Callithrix jacchus: one gene and its partner. The protein of the gene in region 1 purifies or fractionates together with the protein of each later gene. This does not show direct contact. Links are inferred from orthologs where the notes say so. Each region holds a gene or a part of one and is shown in the gene's direction. Other genes may lie near its edges.

Region 1 (3,745 bases):
GGGATGTGAGTGTGTGTGTGTATGGATGTGGGTGTGTGGGGGTGACTGTAGGTGTTTGTGTTAGTGTGGAGGTGCCTGTGTGTGTATGAATGTGTGTGTGGGAGGGGGAACCTAGGGTGAGATGTGTGTTGGATGAGTGCATTTGTGTGGGTGTTGGTTCCTGTGTATGTGTGTGTATGTGGGTGTGTGTGTTCATGGGTGTGGGTGCCTGTGTGTATAGGGTGTGTATGTGACTATGTGTGTGGATACCTGTGTGTGAGTGTGTGTGTGTGTGTGTACTTGTGGGTGGGATGAGTGTATGTGTTTATGTGAGTATGTGTGTGTGTGGTGCCTGTGTATTGGGGGAATGAGTCTGTGTGTGAATGTGTGTGTGTGGGGGTGTTTGTGTGTATGTGAGTGTGTGTGTGTGTGTGCCTGCGTGTGTGAGTGTAAATGTGTCTGTGTGGGGGGTGGGGTAGAGGTGCCTGTGTGTGTGTGAGAGAGAGAGTGTGTGTGTGCCTGCCTCTGTGTGTGTGAGTGTGGATGCCTCTGTGTGGGGGGTGGGGTAGTGGGTGCCTGTGTGTGTGTAGGGTGTGTGTGTATATAAGGTGTGTGTGTGTGTGTGTGTGTGTGTGAGAGTGTTTGTGTAGCGGAATGGACTTTGGAGGTAGATTTGATCTTGATATGCGAGGTCTGGAATGCACGAAACATTAAACTTTATTCGAGGACAGAGCTTTCCAAGTGCTCTAAGGAGCCGCGCTAGAGAAGGAGGAGTTGTGGGGACTCCAGGAGCTTCAAAGCAAGGCCCTCACTCTGCTTCAGGCCCACTTTTTATCACCTTATCTATGGAGTTCTGCTTGATTTCATCAGACAAAAAAGTTCCACTGCTAAAACAGGCAAATAAACAAAAAGAGTTATGGCCCACAGAGCCACTGGGAGGTTTTGTGCTGGGGAGGAGCAGGCCCATGTTTGAAGAAACACTGTGACTTGACTCTGGGGTTGTGTGGGGAGCGCGGGGCCTGATGGCAGACCTTGGGAGTGGAAGTCTCTTTCTCAGCCTCTTCAGCTAGACAGGGGAATTATAAAAGGAGGTGGGTGGGGCATGCACATCTCTCCAGTAAGGGAGAGTCTGATGGAGTGAGGTCTCCCCCAGGCTTGGGGAAGTGTGTGTCATCTTCAGAAGGTAGTCCTCCCTACAGACACTGGTACCAGCAGAGGGAAAGGGAGGGGGAAGAGGCAGGAAGTGGGTAACTAGACTAACAAAGGTGCCTGTGGCAGTTTGCCCATCCCAGGTGGGAGGGTGGGGCTAGGGCTCAGGGGCCTGTGTGAATTTACTTGTACCCTGAGGGCTCAGAGGGAGCACCGGTTTGGAGCTGGGACCCCCTGTTTTACCTTTTCTGTGGCTGGTGAATGGGGATCCCAGGATCTCACGATCTCAGGTACTTTTGGAAGTTTCCAGGGCAAGGCCCCATGATGTCTGATGCTGGGGGAGCAGATCTTGGGGGAGCCCCTTCAGCCCCCTTCTCCATTCCCTCAGGGACCATGGGCTGTGGCTGCAGCTCACACCCGGAAGATGACTGGATGGAGAACATCGATGTGTGTGAGAACTGCCATTATCCCATAGTCCCACTGGATGGCAAGGCCACGGTAAGAGGCAAGACAGGGGCCTTAGTGAGGGAGTTGGGTAGACCATGCAACCCAGGAGGAAGAAATGACCAGCGATACAGGCCCTTGAAAGAATAGAGCGGCCCTCTCCCCTGGAATACAGGAAAGGAAAAGAGGCCCAGAGAGGGAAAGGGACTCTCCTAAGATCACACAGCAAGCAGTTGATCAATTCAGGGATAAGACCCAACCAGGCGGAAAGGCTGAGAGCAGAGGGGAAGGGGGCCAGGGTCTGACCCAGTCTTCTGCTCTCTGACTCCACTCTTCATCCCCCACCCCACAGCTGCTCTTCCGAAACGGCTCTGAGGTTCGGGACCCACTGGTCACCTACGAGGGCTCCAATCCGCCGGCCTCCCCACTGCAAGGTGACCCCAGGCAGCAGGGCTTGAAAAACAAGATCCCTCGCTGTCGGCTTCCACCTCCTCCCCACCTACTCTCTCCCTTGTCCTGCCTTCCTTGTCGCCTGCCCCATAACTCCAGGCTTCCTGCCCATCTCAGGCCGGTTCTCCCTGATGCCGCTTGTCTTTACAGACAACCTGGTTATTGCCCTGCACAGCTACAAGCCCTCTCACGACGGAGACCTGGGCTTTGAGAAAGGGGAACAGCTCCGAATCCTGGAGCAGTGAGTCCCTGACCACCTTGCTCTGGGGAGTCCGTGAGGGAGCGGGGATCTCCGGTACCGCAGCCCTCCTGCGGCCCTTGACTGGCTAGGGTGGCCGCCCTTGGGACAAAATTCGAGGCTCAGGAGTGCGGAGCCAGGGTTCGGGAGGCTGGCTTCAGGGTTGGGGGGTCTTTGAGGGATAGCCTCAGATCAACGGCTGAGTGGGCCGCACTGACCCGCCTCCGTGGCGCAGGAACGGCGAGTGGTGGAAGGCGCAGTCCCTGACCACGGGCCAGGAAGGCTTCGTCCCCTTCAATTTTGTGGCCAAAGCGAACAGCCTGGAGCCCGAACCGTGAGTGGGGTCCCGTCGTGGAGGGGGGATGGAAGCAGATCCAGGGATCCTGGAGCAGGGAGTGGGCCTGGGGTGGCGGTGAAGGCTTGAGGGCCACGGAGGAAGATTCGACAACAGCCGATGGCCTGTGTTGGCTTCCGCCCTGCACAGCTGGTTCTTCAAGAACCTGAGCCGCAAGGATGCGGAGCGGCAGCTCCTGGCGCCAGGGAACACTCACGGCTCCTTCCTCATCCGGGAGAGCGAGAGCACCGCGGGTGAGCGGGCGGCGGCCTCGACCCGGCGCGGGGGTGGGGGCCGCGGGGTGAGCCAAAGGGAGGCGAGGGGGTGAGCTCGAGGTGGGGGCGTGGGGTGAGCCGGAGTGGGGCGCGCGGGGTGAGCCTGAGGTGGGGGCCGTGGTGGCGGGCCAGACTCTGCGTTCTTTCGTTCCTTTATCCATCCATTCATTTATTCAGGATCATTTTCACTGTCGGTCCGGGACTTTGACCAGAACCAGGGAGAGGTGGTGAAACATTACAAGATCCGTAATCTGGACAACGGTGGCTTCTACATCTCCCCGCGAATCACTTTTCCCGGCTTGCATGAACTGGTCCGCCATTACACCAGTGAGCCTGGCGGGACCCCTTCCCAGTGCCCTATCAGCCCATCTTCCCTCAGTCCCCTTCGGGTGTCCCCCAACCATCTTTCAATGCGCTCCTCCATTCCCCGCAGTGGGTGAGGTGTGGAACCGTGGAACCCTACGGCCCCAAGGGTTTGGGTGACAGCCCCACACCTGCCTGCTAGTCTACTTTCCCTGGATAGGGGGCTTGGAGAAGTGGGGGAGGTGGTTTTTGCTAGTCCACTTCCCCTGGGTGGGGACTTGGAGAAGTGGGGGAGGTGGTTTTTGCTAGTCCACTTCCCCTGGATGTGGGCTTGGAGAAGTGGCGGAGGTGGTGTCAATACAAGACCACCTTCCCCACTCCCTTGTCCTCGCAGATGCTTCAGATGGGTTGTGCACACGGCTGAGCCGCCCCTGTCAGACCCAGAAGCCCCAGAAGCCCTGGTGGGAGGATGAGTGGGAGGTTCCCAGGGAGACGCTGAAGCTGGTGGAGCGGCTGGGGGCTGGACAGTTCGGGGAGGTGTGGATGGGTGAGTGTGGCCTCCAGGACTGCCTG
Region 2 (3,645 bases), on another chromosome or scaffold:
GCCCACGCGCGGCTGCAGGACCTGCTGCGGCACTACACGGCGCACCCGCTCAGCCCCTACGGGGAGACGCTCACCGAGCCCCTTGCCCGCCAGGTACGCGCCCCAGACCCTGACCCGAGAGCCCAGGGTCTCAGGCCAGCGCCCCTCCCACCCAGAGCCCAGGCGCAGGACGCGGCACCAGGCACTTTCTCATGCTGAAACACCACCGGCCATGCCTCACTTACGCGGGCACCTTCATCTTCGTGGGAGGCCCTTCGAGAAACATGAATGCTGGTGGGGGGCGGGGACGTCCTTGAGAGGCCAGCCCAGCCACACGGAGACAGAGGGGCAAGGAGAGAGCAGGGGCACACACGGTCATTTGGGGTTTTGTGTATGTTTTGTTCTCTCTCTGTTGCGCAGGCTGGAGTGCAGTGCCATGATCGCTGCTCCCTGCAACCTCCGCCTCCCGGGTTCAAGTGATTCTCCTGCCTCAGCCTCCAGAGTAGCTGGGATTACAGGCGTGAGCCACAGCGCCCAGCCTAGTCATTTGTTTTTTTAATGTAAGAGATATTTACAGAGTACTTAGGCCCTACCAAGTGCTGGCAGGCCCTGAGAATAGACCCATGAACAAGACAGACAGGTGGGTCTCAAACTCACAAAGCTTACTTTCCAGCAGCAAAAACGGACAAGTAATAGAATTCCAGTGTAGAGAGTGTGATTCAAGAGGAAACCCAGGGTACCATTTAGCCTAGCAGGCAGTGGTGCACGAGTCCAGGCAGTGCTGAGGGGCCATTCTGGGCACTGGGAAAACGGCAAGGAACAAAACTGAGTGGGTTGGAAGGACAAGACGATGCAGGGAAAGGAGTCAGGAGCCTGAACTAGGGTGCTGGCCATGTGCGTGGAGAAAAGTACACAGATGTGAACAGCAGACAGTGGAAGGAGCAGGACTTGTGTATGATTTCATGTCGGGAGGCAGGTGGAGGCCTCAAGGCTGACTCCTAAGATGCTATTTTGGCAGCAGGGTGGAGATGTCACTCTTTATTCAGGAAGGACATACTGAGAGAGGAGGGGGTTAGGGCAGGGAAAATAATTCTTTGGATTCCACAGTATACCTGCAGTACACCTCCCGATGGAGAAGTGCACTTGGTGGATAGCAGGAGCACGAGAAAAGCCCTGTGACCTTAGCCTAGAGTGGCAGTGGGTATGGGCACAGCATTCATGGACCAAGGGCTAACGGACGCTGAGCTAAAAGCACACCCTCTGTGAGACAGAACCATCCCACATGGGGATCCTCTCTCCTGAGGTGGTCTCTGCCCTTAAAAATTTTAGCTTATGGCCTGGTGGTGGCTCATGCCTGTAATCCCAGCACTTTGGGAGGCTGAGGCAGGTGGATCACCTGAGGTCGGGAATTCAAGACCAGCCTAACCAACATGGAGAAAGCCTGTCTCTACTGAAAAATACAAAAATTAGCCGGGTGTGGTGGCAGGCCCCTGTAATCCCAGCTACTTGGGAGGCTGAGGCAGAAGAATTGCTTGGACCTGGGAGGCAGAGGTTGCAGTGAGCCGAGATCTCGACACTGCACTCCAGCCTAGACGACAGAGTGAGACTTGGTCTCAAAAAAAAGAAAATCATTTATAACTCCATAAATTAACCAGCATGCATAAATAAACACAAGCACAGCTGTCATAGAGATTGGTCCCCATGCCAATAACTTTTCAGCTAAAGACGTGTAAGGCCTACAGTGTAAAGGATAGCTAGGAAAAAGAAAAAAAAAAAAAGACATGTGAAGCCATGTTGCATTTTCACAACCACAGGCACAAATGGAATCTGGCCTGGCCCTGCGTTCCAGATGCAATTAAGTTTAATGCAGCCAAGTGTGGTGGCTCACCCCTGTAATCCTGCAACAATGGAAGGCTGAGGTGGGAGGGTCACTTGAGCCCAGGAGTTCAAGACCAAGCCTGGGCAGCATAATGAGACCTCATTGCTATAAAAAATGAAAACACAGGCCGGGCGCGGTGGCTCAAGCCTGTAATCCCAGCACTTTGGGAGGCCAAAGCAGGTGGATCACGAGGTCAAGAGATCAAGACCATCCTGGTCAACATGGTGAAACCCCGTCTCTACTAAAAATACAAAAAAATTAGCTGGGCGTGGTGGTGCGTGCCTGTAGTCCCAGCTACTCAGGAGGCTGAGGCAGGAGAATTGCCTGAACCTAGGAGGCGGAGGTCGCGGTGAACCGAGATCGCACCATTGCACTCCAGCCTGGGTAACAAGAGCGAAACTCCGTCTCAAAAAAAAAAAAAAATGAAAACACAATTAGCTGGTGTGGCAGCACGTATCTGTAGTCCCTGCTATTTGGGAGGCTGAGGCGAGAGGATGGCTTGAGCCCAGGAGGTCAAGGCTGCAGTGAGCTGAGACTGCACTTCAGCCTGGACAACGGAGTAAGACTCTATCTTAAAAAAGAACAAGTTTAACGCTAGATATGGCCTGTGACCAGACCAAACTGCCTCCACCCACACCAGGGTCTCCTCGCCATCTCCATCCCCAATTCCTCATCCAGAAAACTCAGCCCAGGCCAAATTTCTGTGCCCATCCCACCCCTATCCTCCACTTAGACCTGATGATTTTGTTCTCCTGATCACCTCCTCCTCCCCAATGTCTCCCCCCAAGTCCCTCAGACCTCCTTCTTTCCCAGCAGACTCCTGAGCCTTCAGGACTTTCCCTGAGGACCAAAGAATCAGACACTGGAAGCAAAAGCCAGGACCCAAACCCCCAGTACAGCCCGATCATCAAGCAGGGGCAGGCCCCAATCCTGATGCAGAAAGAGGGGGTTGGGGAGAAAGAGGTATTGGGCTGAAGGGGCTGAGGAAAGGGGAGGAGAGGCCTGCGGGGGGGGGGGGGGGGGTGCAGGCAGCAGGGAGGAGGAGGGGCTTAGCAGGGCAGAGGCTCAGCTGAGAGTTAGGCTAGGGCTTTAATCCTGCTGGGGTGTTAACCCTGCCTCCCTCGCTCCACTCTTCCCTGGCCTTACCTCTCCTAGCCCTCCCACCCACTCAGGCCCAAGCCTCCCATCCCCGCCAAACCTCAGCTGCCCGCAGAACTCTACACAAGCCCTGCTCCACGCCGCTGCCTGGCCTCACCCCCCAGGCCCCCCAACCCTATCTACAACGAGCCTGATGAACCGATAGCCTTCTACGCCATGGGCCGGGGCAGCCCCGGGGAAGCCCCCAGCAACATCTATGTGGAGGTGGAAGATGAGGGCCTGCCCGCCACCCTTGGGCACCCTGTCCTACGGAAAAGTCGGTCCAGGCCTGTCCCAGGAGGCCAGGTAATGGGTGTGCCAGGAAAGGTGGGTGCAAGAAGGTCTCCCTGCAGGTAGATCGGAGAAGGGAAAGAAGGTGTTGGGAGTGGATGCCCAGGTCAGGGTGAAGAACAGAGGTGTGAGGTGATGTGGGAAGGACAGAATGATCAGGTGCCAGCCTCCTTTCTCCAGGCCCAGAGACTCCCCCGTCTTCTCCCCAGAGTCACTCAGACCTCATCTTTGTCAAGCCCCCATGTCCTCCTGCCTCACAGAGAAAACAGAGGCCCCCGGGCAGGATTCCCCTCAGCCCCCCGCATTGAGACTTTTTTGATCTGCACCCATCTTGTCCTGCAGGCCCTCTTCAGACGCAC

What was found. The genes of interacting proteins can lie anywhere in the genome.
Region 2: the proteins of LCK (region 1) and SH2D2A purify together in Homo sapiens (co-immunoprecipitation; 3 studies listed by IntAct, with this or other methods). This does not show direct contact. The link is inferred for Callithrix jacchus from reciprocal best matches to the Homo sapiens genes LCK and SH2D2A.

Annotation. Positions count from the first base shown.
Region 1 is NC_133508.1:68,884,548-68,888,292, forward strand, and holds the start of LCK (tyrosine-protein kinase Lck), read left to right. Parts: upstream 1-1,312; 5' UTR 1,313-1,389; coding exon 1,390-1,626; intron 1,627-1,924; coding exon 1,925-2,006; intron 2,007-2,172; coding exon 2,173-2,263; intron 2,264-2,495; coding exon 2,496-2,594; intron 2,595-2,744; coding exon 2,745-2,848; intron 2,849-3,046; coding exon 3,047-3,196; intron 3,197-3,566; coding exon 3,567-3,719; intron 3,720-3,745. UniProt on the Homo sapiens protein: Non-receptor tyrosine-protein kinase that plays an essential role in the selection and maturation of developing T-cells in the thymus and in the function of mature T-cells. Plays a key role in T-cell antigen receptor (TCR)-linked signal transduction pathways.
Region 2 is NC_133519.1:17,210,960-17,214,604, reverse strand, and holds part of SH2D2A (SH2 domain-containing protein 2A), read left to right. Parts: coding exon 1-93; intron 94-2,674; coding exon 2,675-2,821; intron 2,822-3,013; coding exon 3,014-3,301; intron 3,302-3,645. UniProt on the Homo sapiens protein: Could be a T-cell-specific adapter protein involved in the control of T-cell activation. May play a role in the CD4-p56-LCK-dependent signal transduction pathway. Could also play an important role in normal and pathological angiogenesis.